Caenorhabditis elegans: one gene and its partner. The protein of the gene in region 1 interacts with the protein of each later gene in a pairwise test. Each region holds a gene or a part of one and is shown on either strand. Other genes may lie near its edges.

Region 1 (10,853 bases):
TCCGACAAACAACTCCAAAAGTGCAAGTTTAACATGAGCAACTTCACAGATTTCATTCTGCTCGGAGTTTTGTACAAAATGCAATAAGCACCGTATGATAGAACGGGAATTTCAAGAAATGTTAGACAGTGTAAGGTAAATGAAATAAAATTAGGACTTGACAAATATCTGGTATCTGGAATTCCAGCACCTGATATGCAGTTCTGCATATTGATTTGAAAATTTTTTGATTAAAAGTTTGAAAAGATGTTAGGCAACCGAGTGAGTAGGGTTAGTCAAGCGGAATAAATTTTCTTGGGTTATCTTTTGATAATGAAGTTTTAAAGTTTTGTGTAATATGTGGCAAAGTCTATGAACTTTTTTGATATTATTTGATTTTTATTTTAAATGATATTTTTGATTTAATATTTGTTTCTACAATAGTGCCAAAATGACCAAATATCAAACTTATCAAACAACTTTTGAAATTTTTTTTTGACTGTCAAAAAGTGGCAATTACTGTTTTTTTGCCACTTTTTCTGAGAAAACCATATCACTGTCGCATGTCCTATCCATAAAATTTTTGACTATCGATATGTGAAACATACCATTCGGTGTCAAATTTTCCAAAAATTGAAATTTTTCCGAGCAATTTCGAGCATTGCTGGAGGTAGTTAGGAAAAGTAGTTAGAAAAGTTTTCCCGCTAAAGACACTTCACCTGTACATGTAAGGTGTTCAATCACAAAAAAACAATCATAATATAATTTTTAACATTATTTCTAGAATTCTGTTCACTAATGTGTCTAGTTCGTGTTCACGCCGCCAAAAGCAAATTTTTCGTAGAAAAAGTTAATTTAGCCCGATTGTCAACACAACCGATTCTGCGTTAACAAAAAATTCTCCCACTAGGTATAAAACGTACATATTAATATTTTCTTGAAAAACACGTGTGTCATAATGCTAATTGGAAAACATATTTAACACGTTTTTATTAAAGAAGAAACATTTTTAAAGAAAGAGAAAAACTTATTTTCTAGCTTGGTTTTCAGAAAATGAATAACTGCTCGATATCACCGTTTATTGATTCGAGTTATCTAGCATCTCCGAATTTTGTGGCATTTTCTTGTCACATTATAACTATAATTGAAATCCCACTTTCAATATATGGTGCGTATTGCATTTTATTCCAAACTCCTGCCAAGATGAAGCCTGTGCAGTTTTTGATTCTAAATTTACACTTTTGGAATACGCTATCTGATTTGTTTCTATGCTTTATTGGTATTCCATTCTTATATTTGCCTTCAATTTCTGGGTTCGACCTGGGCTTACTTGAATCGCCAGCAGTTACATTTTACGTAGGAGTTACGCTTGTTTTAGGTTAGTTTAATAACATTCAAAAATTTTTAATGTAATGAAGTCAGGGGAGTGCTGCGATTGCCGTTCGGCAATTTTTTCGGCCGACAAATCGGCAAAGTGCCGGTTTGCCGATTTGCTGATCTGCCAAAAATTTTGTTTTTGGCAAATTGCCAATTTTCCGTATGCCGGTTTCCCGAATTGCCGTAATTTTTTATTTTTGGCAAATTGCCGATTCACCATTTGCCGGATAATATATTTGCTGGAAGTGTTTGGCGGGATTATTTTATGAGACGGAAACAATTAAAACTGCGTTTTTTTTTTTGGAATTTTTTCCCGTTTTTTAAAAGATAATTTCATAGAATTTGCTAACTTTTCGAAACAAATGTAGGAACATTCATAAGATGCATAAAATTTTGCCGATTGAAATTGAAATTCTGAAGTTTCCAAAAAATATGCAAATATACAATTTGCCGAAAATGTTTGGGCAAAATCGCCAAATTGGCAATTTGCCGGTTTATCGATTTGCCGAATATTTCAATTCCGGCAATTTGCCGACTTGCCGATTTGCCGGAAAAAATCGTTTGCCTTTTTAAAAATATAGTTTTCCACTGAATTTACACAATTTTTCAGCTATGATTGCCGCCGTCCTCTCAATTTACGAAAATCGATTTTACAAACTGTTTGCCCATAAAACCACATGGAAACATATCAGAAAAGCCTACCTCATCGCTGTCTATACTTCAATACCTTTTATATTTCTACCACCATTCCTAACTATTCCCGAGCAAGAAACTGCTCAAAGCTTTATCTTGGCTAAACTTCCTTGTTTGCCAAAATTTACATTTAACGATGAAGAGCTCTTTGTGTTGAGCATTAGTCCTGTAATACCACTACTTTGCATTGCATTTGCATCCTTATTTTTGGCTGTTCCAATTATTACATTTTTCTCGATGACACTTTATCACTTGTTAACCAAAAAAAAGTTGGTCACACTTTCCGCAAAGACATTGGCAATTCATAGAAAATTTCTCAAGTCGGTTAGTATTCAGGTGAGTATTGCTCTGTTTTAGGTGATTATATCTTTTTTAAAAGTTAATTTTTTTCAGTCAATATCTACAGCTGGAATTGTGTTGGTACCTCTTACAACTTTTATTTGCTTTATGATGTTTTGGTACCACAACCAAAAATTGAACAATTTGGGATACTTGGTCTTGTCACTACATGGAAGTGTGTCTACGATTGTAATGATATTGGTTCACAAGCCGTATCGAGATTTTACATTTTCATTGTGTTGGAAACCGCAAAGAAATTCTCCTACTATAATAGTGACAGATAAAAGCAATCAATTACAAAATTCTTTTAACGTTGTCGTATGAATGAACGTTATTACATTAGCCAAATTCACAACTTTTATTCTTTTCTCCATCTTTTCTCAATGATTATCCCTTTTGAAATTTTCATTTTTCGCACTCCATCGACAGTCGCCTGCCGGACAACGCGTGAGAAAGTCGTGCACTCCACCCGGACAAATACTTTTAGTCTTACAACTAAACCCGAGCCGTGACGCGACACGCAACGCGCCGTAAATCTACTCCAGATCTGGCCGAGCCAAAATGGCCAGAAATCCGTGAATTTTTCTCGATATTTTTACACATACACAGCAGCCGACATTTTACGAGTCTGTTATTTTAATTAATTGAAAATGCAGAAGTTCACAGAAAATGTAGACTTTATATCGCCCTCTCTGTAGTCAAATTATACTAGAAATTGTAGAAGGTCAAAACATTTTTAAAGGGATGTACTTTAATATTTTATGTTTTGATAAAAGTTCCAATTAGATCACAAAATTTGCGAAATGTAACATTAAAAACATGTGTTTTGTTCTGATATTAGAAAAAATGAGTTCCGCGTCAAAATATTTCCTCATTTCATCCATAATAGTGTTCCCAAATTTTAGATATATTATAGTATAGTTAACAAAAAATCAATTAGTACTCGTTTTGAAAAACCGCCTGCTCGCCCAAATTCCAAAAATAATAGCAAATCCAAATGCAACGACAAGATGATAACATGAATAGACCACAAACTGAAAAAAACTGTTTCTTAAATTTTTCAGATACTCAAAACAAACCTGTGGCCTAATATCCAGCTTCTGCCAATCTATGACAACAGCGGTCAGAATAGATTGAAGAAGGAGAGCAACAAATGTGTTAATCCCGAAGAGTAGGCCAAATAGTCTAGAGTCCAGGGAAAAGGCCAGTGTAGACTGAGCAATCGTAGTGGTCAACTGGTATATGACTCTATAGAATATGTAACTCAGGTATAACACCACGATATGATGAGATTGTGACATCCAAAAAAGTAGGCCGGCTTGTCCGATGGAGCCAACAGCAAGGAGAAGGTCTCCCCATCGGTTCCAATTCACGTTGAGCTGGCGGGTGATCAGGTCAGCTGGGATGCCAAGAAGTGGGACGAGGGCTTCGGTGATACCATTATAACGATTCGCAGACTCCGGAAGTGTACCCCATAAAGTTTGGGTGTAGTTTGTGACCTGGAATTTGAGAAATATATAAGGAACTTAAAGCATAAGCTTTGAGATCAAGCTTTAAGCTTTGTGTTTAAGCTTAAACCTTCAAGCTTCCAGCAAGTCTATATAATCTTATTGAGTTGTCAAAATATCATATGTTTTCTGAACATTTTCCCAAAAAATGAAGCCGAAAGTTAGCAGAATATTAAACAAGAATTTGCCGAACTAGGCCGTTTTGACTCGGCCAAGACCGGGGTAGATTTACGGCGCGTTGCATGTCGCGTAGCGGCTCGGTTTTAATTGTAAAACTAAGTGTATTTGTCCGTGTGGAGTACACGACTTTCCCACGCACTGTTCGGCAGGCGATTGTCAATGGAGCGCGAAAAATGCAATGATAATTGCCAGAACCCCGTGATGTACCTGATAAAAAATGCAACTCGAAAGAGCCGACCAAACAGACCACTTCAAAATCAGCGGATTGCGATAAATCGCCATTAAATTATGCCGCAACCCGACAAAGAACATCCTAAGGTAATCCATATAACTTGACTGATCAACGATTTCTTTTAAATTGCCTTGAACATTATTATCTTCCAGCTTCTTCTCATAAGCTTCCTTCCACTCAACACCAGGTAATATTAATGCCAGGAATACCGCAATTGTCATGGCGACCAAACTGATAATATTAAGAGTTGAATACGATGTCCAGTTAAGGCCAATGAGGAGTTGAGCTAGAGCATAAGCTAGAAATCGACCGACGAGGAGTGCTGCTCTTGTAAAAGCGGTTGCTCTGAAAATTTAGAAATTGGAAGATCTAGGTACATACTTTTAATAGAGCACGTGGTGTCCGCGTGTCCCATTTCGGTTTCATCTATGTAGATCTACAAAAAATGCGGGAGAAGAGACGAAGAGTTCTCAACTGAATTTGCATAGTTTGGACTAAAAATACCCGCATTTTTTTTAGATCAAACCATAATGGGACGCCCCTGGCACCAAGTGTACAAGACCTTACGATTTATACTCGGTTTTTGGAACTTTCACATAAATATACGCGAAATACGCAATTTCCGTTGCAGTAGCCCATCCATAGAACACTTCAAGAACTTGCTGACTCCAGACACTCTTTCCAAATACAAATATGACCCAGCACAGAAAATAGGAAAACGCTTCGAAAACTAGCAAAGGCTTATATAAAAATACATCGGTGAGTAGGAACGCTGGTATCAGGGTGATCAAGTAGCTGTACGTCCAAATAGGGTACACCTGAAATAAATTTCAACTAATAAAAAGTTAAGCATTTTTCATGAATATTTAGAAAAATTGGAATTTTGCGAAGCGCTGTATAAAGATCGTTGGAAAAAATTCGGTGTCTACTGACGGGGGTTCGAGTAAGAAAAAAAATAGTTTTTCGAAATTTTGGAAAACTTTTTTGAATTCACTAACTTTGTTTAAACAAATGTTACATGGGTGGGCGGCGAACGATTTTTTTTTGGCAAATCGGGAAATTGGCGAATTGCCGGAATTGAATGTTTCTGGCAAATCGGCAAGTTTCAGGAATTGCAAATTTCTGGCAAATCGGCAAACCGGCAAGTTGCCGATTTGCCAATTTGCCTTGAAAACGGCAATTGCCGAACAGTTTTGGCAAATTTTGGTTTTGCACATTTTTTTAGAAATTTTCTGGATTTAATTTTCAATCGGCAAAATTGTACTCATCCTTTGAATGTTCCTACATCTATTTTTAAAAGTAAGCAAATTCTATGAAAATTTTTAAAGAAGACGGGAAAATTTTCAAAAAGACTCAGTTCTAAGGGTTTCCGTCTTATAAAAAAAATCCTCTAAACATATCCGGCAAACGTCAAGCCGGCGATTTGCCGGAATTGGAAATTTCTGGCAAATAGGCAAACCGGCAATTTTCCGAAATTAAAAATTTACGGCAAATCGGCAAACCGGCAATTTGTCGATTGCTTCTAGTAATTTCTAGAAAAAATTCCCTAATGTTTTTTTTTTAAATTTTTTAAATTTTTGTATTAATAAAAACAGTAATTTACAATTTTCATAAAATTCGACAGAGTTTTTTATTCAAAATTACCTGACTATTCAAAGTCTGCTCTGACATATTCAGAACTGTATGCTGATATTCATACATGTACGGTTCGGTGGGCCGGAACTCTTTTACAGCTCCATACATACAAATCAGGACCATCACTTTCCATTGCTCCATTGTACCGGCGAAATTTTCCAGGAATTAAAAGAAAAAACCACAAAAGTGTGAAAAAAAATGTGTTAGACTATGCTGACTTTTACTGATAAGACCGATTAATGTGCAGTTTTTCGAATGATAGTATTTTTTTTGGGAATTTAGAAATTTATACTTTTTTTTTACACAGGCGCGCCTAAATTTATGACGTTTCCCCCGAAAATTAAATCAAGGCGTACAAAAAATCCAACTGATAAAATATCACTGACCAATTGATCAGACATCGAAAAATGAACGCTGAAATTGGTAAGTGAACAAATTTTATTAAACAACAAAATCTTCATAAATTAGTTTATTGGAAAGTTCCAAGTCCTCCCTCTTGTATGATCCATTGTCTGATATCGCAAAGCTCCTTCATTAGCTGAGTTTTACCGTTTGGTCTCTCTTTGCCAAATCGTCTGAAAATTTTAAAAAAATTGAACGCAGATTTTCTCAGCAAAAAAAATGTTTAAAAGCTACAAAAATTTCGAGAAAACTTCCAAATTTGTTTAACCAAAATTTAGGCTGACGCTCGCCACTGACGCCAAGCCTACGTCAAAGCCTGAGGCTAATCCGAAGTTTAGGCTTGAGCCTAAGCTTAAGCCCAAACCTAAGTCTGAGCCTGAGCTCAAGTCTGAGCCGAAGCCGAAACCAAAGCCTAAACCTTAGCCGAAGTTCAAGCCTAAGCCTAAACTTAAGCCCTTAAGCCAAATATCCCAAATTGATAATATTAAACATACCTATACCACATTTCTGCGACCCGATCCTCGCCGGGTGTATGTTTCCAGTTACAAGTGTGGAAAGATTTTTGATACTTCAAACACACAATACAGTATACAGGTTTATGTGGTCGAACAAATCCAAGCTGCTTCATCGGTTTTAGTCGATCCAGAAATTCGTCGATGATTTCGATTAGCTTTAGGGGCTGAAAATATTTACAATTAGGAAAAGTGTTGTTTATTCAAAAAATGTTCAAACTTACAGTAACTGCTGTCTGATTTTGATACTCCTGAGCATCAAATTGAGCCTGATCGTTGCCATTTTGCAAAGATGAATCTGATCCTGCATCGTTTTCAACTAGATCGGGCGAGAAACGATTTAATGGCCCATCTGCAGTACTTGGCATGCTCACCGGCATAATATTTGCTTTGATTTGCAAACTTTCGTGATCCCTTTGCTGATCTTCAAAGCCGTTAAGCTGGAGATGCTCTGGAACTCGAGCCGGTGGACAAAAGTCCGGAAGTCGTGCGGGAACTGGTGCTACATTCACAGTTGGAACCTCAACTTCGCGGACTTCTAGAACAGGTTCACGTTTGACTGCCCGCAGAGCATTGGGATTGTGTAACGACTCGCTTGTAATTTCCATGGATTCCTGAAAAAAATTATGATCAGATTTTTTTTGAAATTGTGGAAACACTAATTTTTTTCGCTAAATAACATAATACAGTCTCAATATATCAAATACACATGTTTAAAATATTTGTAGAATTTTTCTTAATTTTTCTATTTTTTTTTCAAATTTAACAATTAGAAAGTGCCCTTGATCTACCATTTGAAACATAGTTTTAAATTTTTCAGACATTTTTCCAAAAACTGACTAAAGAGTTACAAAAAACAAAAATGTTCTTTTATTTAAAAACGTCTGAAAACAAGACAAATTATGTTTTAAATAATAAATCAAAGAATAATTAATTATCGATTTTTGAGCAAGTCGCAGCAGTTTCTTGTAGGGGGAATTTTCATTTGAGCGGGAAAAAAATAAAATTTGAATTGAAAAAAAACCATACCTCTCTGGCAAGTTCTCGAGCTCTTTTCCGGTTCACTGCTCGCCGATTCATCACAAATTCTCCATATTCCAATATCATCAAGTGATTCATCATTACGTGCATATTCATATCAAGTTCTGAGCTGAATTTGTCGCCGCATCCATTCCATCCGCATTTTATCTGTAACAAAGATTTGATTTAAAAAAAACCAAAAATAGAATATACTTACATTTTGAGAACTAGAAGACATTACTAAAAATGATGTTCCAAAAGAATCGATGGTGTTCACCCTTTTTGTAAATTTCTCTAAACACTCCACCTTCTCTCTCGCGTAGCAATGGAGCGCGTTTATGACTGGTAAGTTCTGGTAAACCATACACGGTTGTGCTCCTGAATACGCAGCCGCCTTGGAATTATGTAGTGTGACGTCACATGCGGTTTGTGATACAATTTTTGCAGGAAAACATTATAAAAATGGACAGTAGACGTTCGGCAAATATTTAAGAATTTTATTTGGAATTTTTTCAAGTATACATAAACATTTTCAAATAGTTAAACATTGCGAATTCTGAACATGATTTTTCTTGCCAAAGCAATTGCAAAGTGTAGCCAGATGTTTTCTGTACTCAGTTACAATTAACATAAACAGTATACTATCGATAAATGGGTAGATCCCCAATAATGCACAAATAACTCCAGATTTGAAAGACATCTTCAAATCAAACAACGGGCCTAGCAAAAGTGGCATTGCTGGCAAAACGAAAGTTATGGTCGGGACCGTAACTTGAACAACCAACGCCTTGAAAAATTGCTGTTGAAGTTTTCGATTGGCGACAGAAAACTTTTGCAGCTCTTTCTGCATTTGAAAATGCATTTGAAGCCCGCAATACACAATTATTAGGTATTGAGAAGAGAGTAGAAATGTTCCAATGCAAAGGTATAGCACATTATTGATTCTTACGTTGCCATTTTGATCATAAGGAACTATGAGTAGTCGTGGGAGGGTAGAAATATCTAATTCGTATACTTCAAATATTTCATTTCTGAAAAAAAACCACGAAATTGGTTTTTGGTTTATTTGATTTTTTTAAAACAAACCAGAAGCTATAGAGAAACAAATTTAAAAAAATAATCCGTTGCTCATGATTTTTTTCCAGGTTTATCCATGTTTTACGATTAGTTGTTTAAAATTATTTCGCGGGATGTGCGGCAAAATTGCCAAATTTGCCGATTTTGTCGAGCTCGGCCAATTTTAAGATTTGCCGAACACCTCTTGTTGACACCTCGCGAGCCAATTTTAGCAAGCTATTTAAAACTCCTGTAGCTCAAGAAAAAGGAACTTTAGCAAATAATTTTTCATTGACCCTATTCAATAGTATTTTTCTTGAGTAGTATAATTGAGCAAAAAGTTAAAAAAAAAATGTTCTTGCGCCATTTTTGGAAGTTGCGCTCGGTCAGCACTACTCTAGAAAAAATAAGTTATTAATATAAACAAAGAAAATTCTTTACGAAAAATGGGCAAATCGGCAAATTGCCGGTATTGAAAATTTCCGGCAAGCCGACAAAGCGGCAAATTGCCGGCAATTTTCGGCAAATTGTGGTTTTGCACTTTTTTTTTGAAATTTCTGAATTTCAATTTCAACCGGCGTGTTGTACTCACCCTATGACTGTTCCTAAATCTATTTTGAAAAATGTGTACTCACCCTATGAAAATTGTACTCACCCTATGACTGTTCCTAAATCTATTTTGAAAAAGTAAGCAAATTCTATGAAAATACCTAAAGAAAACGGGAAAAAATGTTCAAAAAGGCACAGTTTTAAGTGTTTCTGTCTGATAAAAATCCCTTTAAACATTTCCGGCAAATCGGCAATGTGCCGAAAATGAAAAATCCCGGCAAATCGGCAAACCGGCAATATACCGAAAATGAAAAATTCCGGCAAATCGGCAAACCGGCAAATTGCCGGAGTTCAAAATTTCCGATTGACCGAATTTATCGACAAAAAAAATTCCGAAAGGGCCCTGCCGAGTTACACCTCGCGAGGTGTCGGCCGCTTTTTAATTGAAATTTTTAGAATATTGAAAAGTATTCAAACTTGTAGACATCACCATAGTTTTACACAATTTTTTCTGTCAAATTTCCTAAAGCTTACCTCATATAATCATCTGAAAATTCATCGGGTCGTGTCAAACACCAGATCGCTGCTCCGTTCACAGACCCGATGAAAACCGGATACATGCTCCAAGCTATAGCTCCATAATTTTCAAACAATTTTGTCAAGTCGGGATTAAATAGGGATACATATCGAAATGCAAATTGAACAGCTAAAAATGTTACGACGACGGCGTAAATTGTCACATATACCACTAAAGATATTGTGACGACATCTTTGGGGATTTTAAACCAACTTTCTCCAAGGCTAAAATACATCAACCCTTTATTATAATTATGAATAAACGGTTTGGCAATTCGCTCAACAATTGAAAAAATGATTCCCAAACCCGCAAATAAGATTATCATTTTTTTATAAGAACCGACGATTTGCTTCACGTAAAACGTTGTAATAAAAATTAATAGAAGATTTGAAAAAAGCGTGGCAAAGAATGAAGTTACCGTGATAAATTCGAAAACCTTGTGAAACATGCTTATTGAAACACTGAAAAAAAAACTGTGATGTGTTGTGATACTACTATACGACCCCGCGGGATTCTTTGTTTTTGTCTGGTAGAAATAACTAGGAAGTAACTGAAAACTTGTAATTACAAGAAGCTATTGTATGCAGAACTTCTTGGGAAAATGGATCCTTGGAGAATTACAGTTTAGGTGCAGGAAATTTAAATTTGGCACCTAGACTAAGAACTAGTAGGGCTTAGAACATAGCCTAGCATTTAGCCCTGCACCTAGCCTAGGCCCTAGCCATGCACCTAGCCTAGCACCTAGCCTGAGAACCTAGCTCAGCACCTAGCCTTGCACCTAGCCTAGCACCTAG
Region 2 (13,190 bases), on another chromosome or scaffold:
CGAAACGAAATGAGGTTGGTTTCATTTAGAGCTGTTACCATCCATAGTTGGTAATATTCATAAACATTTTAAGCGATCTAAAAGAATATCCGGAAGATGCAACTGAAATCCGTGAGCTCATCGAACGTCGTCGTCACTATTTGAATGTGGTTTCTGCCACTGCAATTCTCGCAGTAAGTAATCTCTTGATTGAAGTTGAACAACAACTATTTTATAGACATTCCAATGGTGTACAACTGTCGGATGGTATATTTACCTATCGGAAGCTTATGCTCACATGGCTGATAGTTTGGTGCATATTTCATTTATGATTACTACTTGTGTGATGTTCCTGGTGATTTCCTTGGTCTATTTTTCGATTTTTACCAAAAAATGTGGTAAGTTACCTATCAGATATACAACTACTATTTTCTTATTTTATTTCGTTTTCAGCACTTCTGGTATTCCTCACTCTTCTCTACTTCGCTGCTGCTTCGCTGAAACTTTTCCAAATTGCAAACCAGCATCTGGATCCAGGATTCCGTCGTCACTTTAAGAGCACATTCACCAAATATTCCGAGTATGGCCTTTTGAGCTTGTTCTACGACTCCATCATCGTCTTCACTTCCATTATCAACTGTGCAATGTGCATTTGTGGCTCATGGCACTTCACACCACTAGTGATGGTTAAGATGAACTTTAGGAAGACAGAAGAAGAAGCGGTGGCACGGGCTCTGGGAAAATTGAAGAAGACCAAATTGTAAGTACTCTACTCTAGACACTATGAGAGCGCGTCAGTCTCATATTCTGAAGGTCGTGAGTTCGAGCCTCACCGGGAGCAAGTTTTTTGCAGGTCCAGTTGCAATATTACCAGTTCGAATGATAATTCTGCTCATAAATTGTCGCATGGAGCCAAAGGAAAACGTTTTATTTCGGTAATTCTTAATTCTGGATAATTATAACAAAGTTTTATTATAGAAGAAACACCAAAAGAAGACTGTCCAAGCTCAGATTAATGAAAATGCTGATGTCACTGTGACAACATCTGGTGCAATGGATGTGAAGGTAGGAAATGAGCAACTTTTCAAATTGGAAATATTTTGGTTTCAGGGAGAAGTGAGAGTAGCGTAGATGTTCGGATCAGGACAAGGAGATGGAAGGGCCCATTTATGTTTATGAATAAAAATATCAGTTTGTATATTTTTTGTGATCTCTCTTTGAAATCGTAGGTTATAATCCGTTCGCGGAAACTTTTTAGGGTTCCAACGAGACGGTGACCGGATCAGCTCGTGCGGTTCCGTATAAGCCATATTTATCATATTCCCTGAACATTATTGGATGAATTCTAAACGTGATTGTGGTTTTCGGATGATTTTATTCTGCAGTGTGTATTTATAAGTTTAAGATTTACAATCAAGCGAAATTTAGAATTTCACAAAGAAGCAACAGTGATTAGGGTGGTGACTAGTTGACATTTGAAAATTTTTTGAAATTTACAATTCATGTTCTTTTTTTTTTGAAAGTTGCGCGCAAAAGCGAAAGTATTTTTCTTTTAAAGTTGAAGGGGAGAGCTACTGCAGAGAAAGAGCGGTTGGGGGAACGAATTTTTGGGAGGCTTGGAGCAGAATAAAATGGGCAACATTTAGGCGAGTTGGATTCCGGTGATCTCAACGTCTCCTCCGATTTGGAGTCCATTGACCTCATCAGGACTGAGACGGTGAGCATACGATGCGAAACGTTCTCCGTTCACGGTGACCTGGAATATTGGATAATATGGAAAAGAACAACTTTTTGGTGTCTACATCTAATTTGAAAAATAACTTACAGCGAATGCGTATGGCTCGTTATGGATCTCCAAATCAAATCCAACAGCCTTCTCAAATGGCATTTTTCCTTCACGCTCCTCATTTCCCCAAGCGGAGTTGATCAACGAGTTGCGAACGACGTGCTGAAATTTTAGAGTATTACACGGATCTTCAAATCATTGATATACCTTCTCATCGAAACGAGCGTTAAGATGAAGAGCAATATCTCCGTTCTTCTTGAGAAGATTGATGTGGAATCTCTTGGCCTTCTTCTCTGGAATTCCAAAGACAGTAAGAGTCTTGCCTGGGGCAAGTCCCTCTCCGGCGAGCCCACTCTCATATGGAACTGGCTGAAATTAGTTTAGTATGAGTTACTGAGTATAATTCATCTATTTTTACTTACATAGTACTTTCCTCCCCAGTGAATGTAGTTGACAAGAACATCTCCGTCGATAGTGAAGTGTGTGATGGAGGAGAGTGGCACACGATGCTCGTACTCCTTCACCTCCTTCTGATCAACAAAGATCTGGAACTTGGAGTCATGGGCGCGGATGCGGATGTCAATGTCGTCTCCCTTCTTGTATGGGTTCGATTTGCGCTCTTCTTTGCCCCATTCTCCCTTGGAGAAGGTGTTGAAGACAAGTTTTCCTTCGTCGAAACGAACGGAAACGTGGAGTGGAACGTCGTTTCCGGAGAAATCGGCGGTGTTGGTGTGAAGGTTGACGGTGAAGCTGAATATTTTATCAGTTCACATATATTTTTTTATTGTGAATAAATAAGATGGTTCTTCATACTTACCGGATGGAATCCTCTCCAGTCTTTCCCTTCACAATAAGTGTCTGTCCTGGCTCAAATGGCTCGACGAGCTTGCTACGGTATGGAACTGGCTGAAATTCGTCCTTGTTACTCAATTTATCACTATCAATTTACGTTTTCAATCCGTCATTTTTTCACGAAATTCTGGGTTTTCACGATCAACATCACCCAAAAATGTTTATCAAGGTGATATTGACCTTGACAGGAAAAATATTTGTCGTCGTCTTCGCAACAACTAACAAACACGAATTTGTATCCCGCCCGTTTTTTTATGACTTGAGATAAAAAAGGAAAAGAAAGCCAATTAAAAATTGAGATAAATTGGGCAAAAGTGTTGACAGATAGAATGAAAAAAGAAGAAGAAAAAGATCAGATCTAAAAAATAAAACTTACGAATGCGGACTCATGGGCCATTTCAGCAAGTTTTCTTGGTTTTTTCGGTGATTCTTCCGGTTGAGTTTCCTGAAATTATAAAAAATTATGGATTAAAGTCAAGTCAGATACAGTAGAAATATTTGGAAGTGAATTGAAAAATTGGAAAAGAAAAGTTTGCAAAACTAAATTAGCTTTTTTCGCCCATTCTCTTCATCGTTTTTCTTCAGTTCAATTGAATCCATTCTTCAAATTTCGAACGAAAATGGAATGGAATTGGCAGAAAAAAGAACACAGGAAATTGAAATGGAAATGGAGAATGGGACCCATCGTTTTCCGCTTTTTAACCGTAGAGAAAATTCCGAAGGAGACGAAAAAGATTGAAAGAAAAATTGTGTATCTTTCGAATTTTTATCACTTGGATAGGAAAAGAGATAGCAGGCAGACATCAAATGTGGGAAAAAAACAAAAAGTGACTCATTTTTGATGTGTCTTTTGTTGTTCGAAATTTTCAATTTTATTATTAAATTTACTGAAACACATGAACTAGACACAGCAATCCTACTACACTATTACACATTTCTACGCAAAACTAGGTTCAATTTCCGAAAAAAGACAATAAACTGTATCTTTTCGATTTGTCAATTGAAACGAGAATTGTTTGAGAGGGAGAGAGATGATGGCAGATACCCATACGCGTGAATGATATCGGCTTTGGGCGTGCCAACATCATTCGGTTCTTTTCACACCGCGAAGAATAGCCTATGTTGTTATTTGAGAGAAAGAGAGTAAAAGCGACAGAAAAACAAAACAATTTCATCTAAAAAACAACAACGATACAATTCTGATCGATCTAGAAATCTGAAAATTTATCGGAAAAAGTAAGATGGCCAACATATAGCCTTAAAATATCAAGTATCAAACCAGGGAGGAACTCTACAGAATAGTTTATTGCAGCCTGTTGTTCCAATTTTTTTTTTTCAAAAATAGTCAACTGGCAAAATATTTTTTATTTCTTTTTCTATCGTTTTGTAATTAGTCTTTTATTGATATCTTTAAAATGAACTGACTTATGGTCTTTTAAAATTTTAAAGTTAAGCTTTTAAGCTTTAAAGTTGGATGCAACATTAAAATCCTAAAAAACTTCAGGTTATGCATTTGAACTCTGCAAAGTCCGAGGCAATTTTTTGAAAAAAGTAAACAGATTTTTGACGTGCCCGCAACCGAAGCCCTCTCGCACACTATATGTATGCAGGTGAAATTTGGACCGGTTTCAAGCCTTCCCACCCTCTTTCACTAAATTCGCCTCTACAATTACCTATAGTTTCGAGTGAAATTGAATCAACCGACAAATTTCGTAAAAGGGCGACAAATTGGTAGTTTGTGTGTGATTCATCTGAAGTGATGATGTTCGATGTATGAAACAATGACCCCTGAACTCTTATGATAGATGATGCAAGAAAGCTGTTCCTCCCACTCATAACTATGTGATGTCAAGGATGTCAAGAGGGCAGCAGGTTGAGTGAAATTTTGAAAAAGTCAGGTGTTTTCAGTGTTTGAAAGCTGCAAACACATACACAACACTTCAAAGCTAAACTAATGACAGATGGAGGAAGCGGGTTTCGAAAAAAGAAAAAATAGAAAAGTAATGAGAGATAAACTTTTTTTAATGGAAGAAGAAAAGTTCGGTAAGTTCAAATAGATTCAATAGTCAAAAATGGGAAAAAACAACTTACTGGAGCTGAAGCAACTGCGGCGACGATTTGCTTCTCGACAACGTCTTCCACAATTTCAGGCTCTGAAGAGTTATGCTCTTCAGAAGAAGGTGCCTCTTGCACTTGTGAATGCTCGACTTTTTCGAATGTCTCCTCGCTTCCAGATTCTGGTGTAGCCGTCTCGGGATGTGCGGCGTCACTGTGAACATGCACGACGTCGAATGATTCCTCGTCGACTGCTGCTTCTGGTGCAGCTTCTACTGTTCCTACGTGTTGTTGAACAACTGGTTCTTCTACTGATTGGGCGTCGGTTGGGACGGATTCAATTGATTCAACGTGATAAGCTACGGCAACTTCTTCTACTGGATTTTCTGATACTGGTGCTGATTCTGATGGGGCGGCATCTCCGGATGGGGCTGGTGCAGATTCTTCGGAGGCTACGTGAACGGATTCAATATTTTCTTCAACTGGTGCGGCAGACTCTGCTTGTGGTTCCTTATGTGATGCCTCAACTACTGTAACGGATTCTTCGTGGGCTGGTTCGGCTGTGGAAGCAGCTTCGTCTTTATGATCTTCAGCTTGTATAGATTCAGATGGAGCTGCTTCTGTTGTTGGTGCTGATTCATTTGAAGCGATATGAACAGCTTCAATAACATCTTCAACGGATGCAGCATGATCTGCTTGTGCTTCCTCGTGAGATGGTTCAGCTGCTGCGGCAGTATCCTTTTGTTCTTCAACTGGAGCTTGAGTCGAGTCAGCTGATGCGGCATCTTCAACTGGAGCTGGTGCTGATTCTGTAGAGGCTACGTGAACAGCTTCAATAACATCTTCAACTGATTCTAGCGCCGTTGGTGATGCTTCATCTTTATGTTCCTCGACTGGAGCAGTTTCTACAGACTCTGCAGCTGGAGCATCAGATTCGGCTTTTGGCTCTTCGTGAGATGAATCGGCTGCTGTGGTAGCGTCCTTGTGTTCTTCAACTGGAGCTTGAGTCGATTCTGATGGTGCGGCTTCTTCAACTGAAGCCGGTGCTGATTCTGCTGGAGCAATGTGAACAGCTTCAATGACCTCTTCAACTGGAACATCCTGAACTGGCTCAGATGGAGCTGCTTCATCCTTGTGTTCTTCAGCTAGAGCAGGAGCTGATTCGGCTGGGGCGGAATGTTCCGCAGGTGTCGATTCTGTAGAGACAATGGGAATGGCTTCAATAACATCTTGCACTGTTGTTGGCTCAGCAGGGGATGCGTCATCTTTGTGTTCATCGGCTGGAGCTTGAGTTTCAACTTGTTCAGACGTGGCTTGTGCGACATCTTCCTTGTGATCTTCGGATGTTGCTGGTGCAGACTTAGCTGATTCTACATGAGGAGCTTCAGTAACTTCCGAAGCTTGATCTTCTGCTGGAGAAGCGTCAACAACTGGAGCATCGGCATGAGTCTCAGCAGCAGAATCAATTTTGGTTTCTTCATGAACTTTGTCAGCTGGAGCAGCAGATTCAGTTGCTTCTACATGGACAGCTGTGATTGGTTCCTCTACAGACTCAGATGATGCAGCAGCCTCTCTGTGGTCCTCAGCTGGAGCATCGGATGAAGCTCCATCAACTGGATCATGAACCTCGTTCTTGTGCTCTTCAACAGTTCCCGGTGCAGCTTCAGTTGTGTTTTCATCGGATGCAACTGGAGCAGATTCGGTCAATGCAATGTGGACGGATTCAATGGCTCCTTCTACTGCTGATTCAGAAGTATGTTCGTCGGAGGCTGGAGCTGGTTCTTTCTGATCTTCAGAAGTAGCTGCAGCGGCTACTTCTTCTTTATGCTCTTCTGGAGCCGATTCATTAGCAGAAACATGAACAGCCTCGATGACTTCATCGACGACTTGAGCGGCGGTCTCCTCGACATGTGAATCATGAGCGGCTTCTGGAGCTGACTCATCTGGAGCAGCTTCTTCCTTGTGTTCATGCTCCTCAACCTTCACTATCTCCTGAGCTGGAGAAGCATCAACAACTGGTGTTTGCTCCTCAGCTGATTTTGTCTCCTCGTGAGCATCCGTAGCAGCTGGTGTTGATGCATTTTCAGCCACGTGCACAACTTCAACATGTTCCTCGATTGGAGCAGCGTCCTGTGCTTCCGATGTGGGTGCTTCTGGTGCTTGATCAACTGGAACAACATGTACAGCTTCGCCAACCTCTTCAGATACAGCTGCAGCTGGAGCAGATTCTTCTTGAATACAAGGTGGGTTGGCCGAGACAGCTTCAATAATTTGAGTGCCATCTGCAAGAACTCCTTGGAAAACGATACGAGCTTCTGGGTCAGCTTGAACAATTGAATCTTCAGTGTGAGCTGGTGCTTCAGTGTGCTCAGAAGAGTGAGATTCCTCCTTATGTTCTTCAACTGGAGCTGCAGAATCAAGAGGAGCTGCTACAGTCTCTTCCTTTTTTTCATCAGCTACTGGAGCTTCTGAAACAGTAATAGGATCAGAATTTGGAATATTCAATAAATCCGACTCACCAGCGACATCAGTAACACCTTCGACAATCTGAGTTCCATCAGCCAAAACACCCTTGACAACAACTTGAGCCTCCTTGACTTCTTCTTTAGCTTCCTGTACAGCAGTCTCTCCATCAACTCCAACATGAACAGAATCAAACTTCTCTTCAACAACAGCTTCTTCCTTCTTCTCATCACCGTTGGAAAATTGCTCAACTACGGTATCCTTCACCTCTTCCAGCTTATCAACAGCATCGGTGAAGACGTCATTGATAGCAGCTGAAGCATTTTGAACGGCTTCTTGAATAGCTGAATCTTTGGCATCCTTAGCATCGGAAGCAGTGTCGGCATCGACAGGCTTATCCTCTGTGTTCTTAGCGAACGGAATAAGATTCTTCGCTGAGCTGAAGGCCGATGAGAAGAATGATGACGAATCGGCCATGATTAGCACAAAAAGTCAACGAAATGAGAAGAGGTTGTAGAAAATAGCAGGGAAATACAAGACACACACCTCTTTGCAGGCTTGGAGTGTGTCGGAATGAGTCTGAAAGTGCACACCAGGCCAATCTCAACGAAGGAGGCACTCTCGTTCTCTACTCGTCTCTCTCGAGCCAGCACTATTTCAACATTGTGATGATGGGAGTGGCCTAGGATGGGCGTGGCGTAGGTTCGGAAGGGTTTGAGAGGTTTTGAGGCGCCGCGCCAAAGAGACGCATACAGGTGTACGAGTATTGACTGATCTGCACGCGCACCGCGCTGCTGCCTGAGGACGCCTCTATCTTCCCCTCTCTTCATTTGTCGTTCCATTCGTTTCTGCCAAATGAACTGGGGGCACAAAAAAAGAAACACGGGGCGCCGCGCACGCGTGTGCCGTCTGCAAAAAAACGGCTGGCAATTCGGGAAATAGTGTGAGACAACAAGATACAGCTAGACGAAACTGATATGGGTAGAGATACAGAGAGATAGAAGAGAAAGGAGGTGAAGCCCGGGGGAAGCCGATGTGCGGCAAACAGAAAGAGTGCAATGCAACCCACCAGATTTGGAGATTTGGTAAGAGAGCCTGCTGATTTTTCAGGTGTCCAAGTGACGCACGTCAGACTCACCATAAGAACTCTAGAATTTGAAGAAGAAAATATTCGTTGCAAAATATTCCGGAACATTTGTTAGTCGTTCGTATGATAGAGAGAAAAGAAGGGGAAACTATGAAATTTCTGATTTGAATGTACACTTGATTTGCATAATGGTGTAACAATGAAATCTGAATTTTCTTCAAAAAGAATGAGAGTTAGTGCACAAAATTAGAGAGAGCTACTCATGAAAAGAAGCTCATCGTGAATTAGGTCTGGATATCTGGATATAGAAGAATTCAATTCAAAATCTAGGTATACAATGTCTCCTCAATTTTTTATGCCGTGGCATCGTTTATCCCCAATTTTTTATCCGCATTTCCTGCTGGCAAGTCTAAATCCCCCTTCATGTAAATCATGTATTTCCGGTGTTTCCTGAAGAACGGGGCTCTCAACGGAAAGGATTATATATGTTACATGATCTTGAACAAGGGAAATGTCTATTGATCTATGTATTGTTTGAATCGAATGCACTCGTATTTTGATGTGTCATTTTCAAATTTTGAATGTTTACACGACGCAATCAGCTGGTGCTGGCTTCCGGGGTGATAAGAGGTTCGTGGTCTTCCCCCTCCTGATGTCAATAAAATTGGATGCCAAATCACATGCTCATGTGGTTTTTTGCCTATTAATTTTTACATTCCGAACTTTTGCAGGAGGGAGTCACACACACGTCGTATGATCCGAAGTTACACAATCGACGGTCCGTACAAACAATTATCAGATGCTCCTATAGGCGCCCACCCATCGGCCGCCACTACTCTAATGTTGACCTTTCGTCAGTCAGGAGCTCTCCCCTCTAACAATTGAACACTAATACAAATAAAATGAAGGTAAATGTAATTAGAACTTGATAAAGTTGCACTGTCAATATTAGAAGGTTTAAAGAAAGTTTTACTTCAGACTTACTTTTGTCTTCCATGACTTTTCTTGGGTTTTGCTTTCATGAAATAGTGAGCGAATACGGTAGGACTTTCGGAAAAATTGATTCATAATGTTGGATCATCAAATCAAATGATACTCATTTGATCAAGAACCCGCGAGACTTAACTTATACTAACTATTTACCCATCTGTCATGTGACTGTGCCAGTATTTATTTATAAATTTCTGTATGCATTCCACAGGACAACCTGAACACTTCCTATCTTCTCTTATCCATTTTCTCTCTGATTTCACTTTTCAATGGGGGTTATGACAGAACTGAACACACCACATGTTTCGTTTTTAGAAAAAAAAAGTTTGCAGCATGAAATGGGTGAAAAAAGGCGGAAACATTCTCATGAAATAGTTTAGTTTACATCGTTGTTTCGACGCCTCGGATTTCAAGATGTGCTTGGTTTGAAGCGGGCCAAAGATGAGAAGAGTGGGTGATGATGATGAACATGTGGTGGTAATGAAATGGGAGAAAAAAAAAGCTTAAAGTGAAAATGAGGAGGACGACATGAGAGAAGAGCCACTTTTTTCTTGAAATTTGAAAGAAAGTTTCACAAAGTAATATGACAGGAGAGTTCGTGAGAAGGATGTGGAGGGGAGTAAAGAGCTAAAAATACAAACTGTTCTTGAATTTCGTACAGATCTGAATACATGAAAAGTCTTTTCTTGAGTTTAAGAGAACACAACATGTTGTGAATCTTGTTCAAGGGATCCATTTTACCGCAATGTTATTCATTTCTCGATTTTAATCGTGATGGATCAAGAGTCTTCAGCTATACCATGCCTCTGTCAGTCTGGTAGGCCTTTTTGCGCCTACCCAGGCCTTAGATACTTCTATCTACCCTGAACACCCGCTCCCAACCAACTTCCCGAAACATCATTCTTACTTCGATTCCTTACTTGGCACCTGCTCTTTTCCATATTTGCCTTTCAATATATTATAACCTTTTTCTCTCCAACACCTGCGCACTAATTTCTTTCAAATATTATTTTAATGTTCAAAATTCACAATTCAAAGAACTATACCATATTCTATAAATGTGTCTTGGTGCAACTACAACAATCGTCCGAGTACAGAGCAGGAGCCTCCAGTTTTTCTTCCTGCTTCTCTGGTTCAAAACTCATGACCTTTGGCTAAATATTTGCACAATCATCATCCTGAATCTCCCAAAACTTTCCAATCACACACCTTTAACCCACACAGATGATGTTCACTTTGGAGGGAAACAGATCTAAATTGTTCAAAAATCAAATTTACTTTTATTTATATACATGTATGTGTGTGCGTTAGTGTCTATATTTACTTGTCACCTGCAGATACTTATGAGGGATCATCCATTTAGGTATGGTTAAACGAAAGTCTGTCTGTGCGTTTGTTTGTCCGAATTGTTTAGCCTACTAGGCCAGGTCATCTTGTAGGTACATAAACATACCTACCTGGCACGTGCCTACTAAACATTGTTAAAGTTTTAAATTACACTTATAAGTAACTTCCTGCCACACTTTGGCAACTTATTTAGTGCCACTAAAATAAGTTGCCGAATTGCTGGCAGGAAGTTGCCGAGTTGTTGGCAGGAAGTTGCCGCGTAGTGGCAGCAAGTGGGAAAAAACGCTCCTCGGCATTCAGAGGCAACTTTCTGCCATTTTATGGCAACTTTCTGCCAAACTTTGATTACTTGCAACTTCCTGCCAAACTTTTGCACATTCCTGCCAACATTTAGATGTTGCTGAGCGTTTTTTCCCACTTGCTGCCACTACGTGACAACTTCCTGCCAACAACTCGGCAACTTCCTGCCAGCAATTCGGCAACTTATTTTAGTGGCACTAAATAAGCTGCCAAAGTGTGGCAGGAAGTTGCCTTTGAATGCCGAGTAAGTAAGGAAAGTAAGGAAAATCAAGAACCCCATAATCTTAAGCTGTACAGTAGGCACGTAGGTAGGCTGGCTTCATCTTTTTTCAAAAAATATGCTGTATGTGCTTTTAATGGTAAATGTGTGTTTGCCATTGTCAAGCAAACTTGGTGAAAAAAGGGAAAACCGTTAATCCGTTTAGATTGTTCAATTGTGGTTTTTTTTTGGAAAGTTGTGAAATTATGTCATGACCGTCATCATCATGAACATCTCTTTATGTCGTCACCTTTCATCTTTCTCAATTTCAAACATTTCATTCAGTTAGGGGGATCGAATTATTTGTCTAGCTGTACTGCTACCTTTCTACCAGGGAGTTCTTTTCGATGATAAAAAAAGTGTCTTTCTACATCTGACTCGTGAGTCTCATGACATGACACGGTCAGTAAAACCACAAAACCTTACAAAAAAGGGCGAAAATCGAGTGTTATTTATCATCTACCACGGGTCATATGGTCGGTTTTTCTTTGACATTCCAGCAGAAACAACCTCAGCCAAACAAAAAAAAATAAAAATTTACACTAGCTGTCCCGAGAGAAAGGTTATATTTGGAGAAACGATAAGAACCCAAACGGAACGTGACAATGTTTCATTTGATTTAATTCGGAGTGATAGGTAGTTTTTTGGTGGAATTCCAAATTCGATAGACAATACTGAACAACATTTGAAATTTATGTCAGATTTCGAGACAGTGGGAACAATGATTTATGGTATAGTTGATATAGAGAATGTCAAAATGCCGACAAAATAATTGTAGTTTAAAGGGATTGACAATACGGTGTAGCTGAAGTTTCCATTTTTTGAAAGCCAAAAAGGCATGAAATTAAAACAGCTTCGACCTTGTACAATTACCTAAAATAACGTCGAAACTCTGCAGATTACAGGTATGTATGAATTAATTTGGAAGGTGGGCACACGTTCCGGTCGCCTAAAAGGTAGGGATGTTTCTGCAGGGATGAAACTGAAACTGATTTTATGAGATTTCAGATTCATCACCAATCAGGGCTGAGCAGCCGCCCAAAAAAATCGGCGATCGGCGATTGCCGATCGCGGAAACTTTTTTTTTTTCGGCGATCGGCGATCACAAATTGCCAAAAAAAAAATCGGCGATCGCCGATTGCCGATTGCCGATCAGTGTGCGTCTAATTTTTTTCAATTTTAAAATCCTAATTTTAAGAGCTCTTTCAAATAATTTTTATAAAAACAGGAATATTAGGCAACGAAAAGCACTCCTTGATACCTTAAAATTCGAAAAGTAGTGAAAAATAGTCCGAAAATATACCTTTTTCCTTCTTCAGAGGGGTCTATCTTGGACTATAAAATTTCATCGGCGATCGCCGATCGCCGACCCGTTTTTTCCTTTCGGCGATCGGCGATCGCCGATCGCCGAGTTCTATTTTTCTTATCGGCAATCGGCGATCGCCGATCGCCGATTGCCGCTCACCCCTGTCACCAATCTCATAATACCATGTTGCAAAAGTTCCTACTTGCTTCATCCCACTATTTACACATATATCCATCAAAAAATCCCCCATTGTTATAGGTTACGTACACACGTCAGTTTGTACAGCTTGCTAGAACAGAAGAATGGAACTGTTGCGAAAGTTGAACGAAAATTCCCGGTCCGGGATGTTTTTTTTTTTCGAAACATATGATGTATGCATTCTGTAATTTTAAAAATGTTTCAAAATGTTTGGTGAACCAAATAGAAATTATTATTCAATGAATCATATGACAATTGTTTTCTTAAATTCGTTTTTCTTGTTTATATGATTCAGTTACGTTTTTGATAGACCATTCACCAAACATTTTTCAACCAAAAAAATTATACAGGGTTTGAAACAAAGTATTGCAAATTTTAGAAGTTTGACTGGCGCCTCTGGTTTGCAAACACCTCAAACTATCAATCTATGTTTTTTCCTTATCTTTCTTGTGCTCAACCGTTCTCAACCAAGAACACACAAACTTTTTTGTCTCTTATCCCCCGCAGTTGCAGCTCACAGTCTATGTACACCCAAATGATTGTATTACGTGGAAAAGGATGGAGATAG

What was found.
Region 2: the proteins of folt-2 (region 1) and lec-2 interact in a two-hybrid assay, tested with the Caenorhabditis elegans proteins (one large-scale study listed by BioGRID).

Annotation. Positions count from the first base shown.
Region 1 is NC_003283.11:2,869,395-2,880,247, forward strand, and holds folt-2 (Folate-like transporter 2), read right to left. Parts: upstream 6,207-10,853; 5' UTR 6,085-6,206; coding exon 5,953-6,084; intron 5,127-5,952; coding exon 4,876-5,126; intron 4,654-4,875; coding exon 4,284-4,653; intron 3,888-4,283; coding exon 3,468-3,887; intron 3,423-3,467; coding exon 3,321-3,422; 3' UTR 3,071-3,320; downstream 1-3,070. Other genes in the region: srh-241 (Serpentine Receptor, class H), read right to left, coding at 1-209; srh-243 (Serpentine Receptor, class H), read left to right, coding at 1,033-1,357, 1,967-2,385, 2,443-2,712; F37B4.10 (C2H2-type domain-containing protein), read right to left, coding at 6,413-6,518, 6,840-7,024, 7,082-7,471, 7,887-8,045, 8,095-8,115; str-39 (Seven TM Receptor), read right to left, coding at 8,410-8,908, 10,017-10,507. UniProt on the Caenorhabditis elegans protein: Unlike folt-1, does not appear to act as a folate transporter.
Region 2 is NC_003280.10:10,008,272-10,021,461, forward strand, and holds lec-2 (32 kDa GBP), read right to left. Parts: upstream 7,913-13,190; 5' UTR 7,613-7,912; coding exon 7,192-7,612; intron 7,141-7,191; coding exon 4,709-7,140; intron 3,063-4,708; coding exon 2,994-3,062; intron 2,672-2,993; coding exon 2,583-2,671; intron 2,516-2,582; coding exon 2,188-2,515; intron 2,135-2,187; coding exon 1,973-2,134; intron 1,928-1,972; coding exon 1,805-1,927; intron 1,736-1,804; coding exon 1,622-1,735; 3' UTR 1,337-1,621; downstream 1-1,336. Other genes in the region: ZK892.5 (uncharacterized protein), read left to right, coding at 10-14, 74-173, 218-377, 433-739, 833-914, 958-1,044, 1,090-1,110.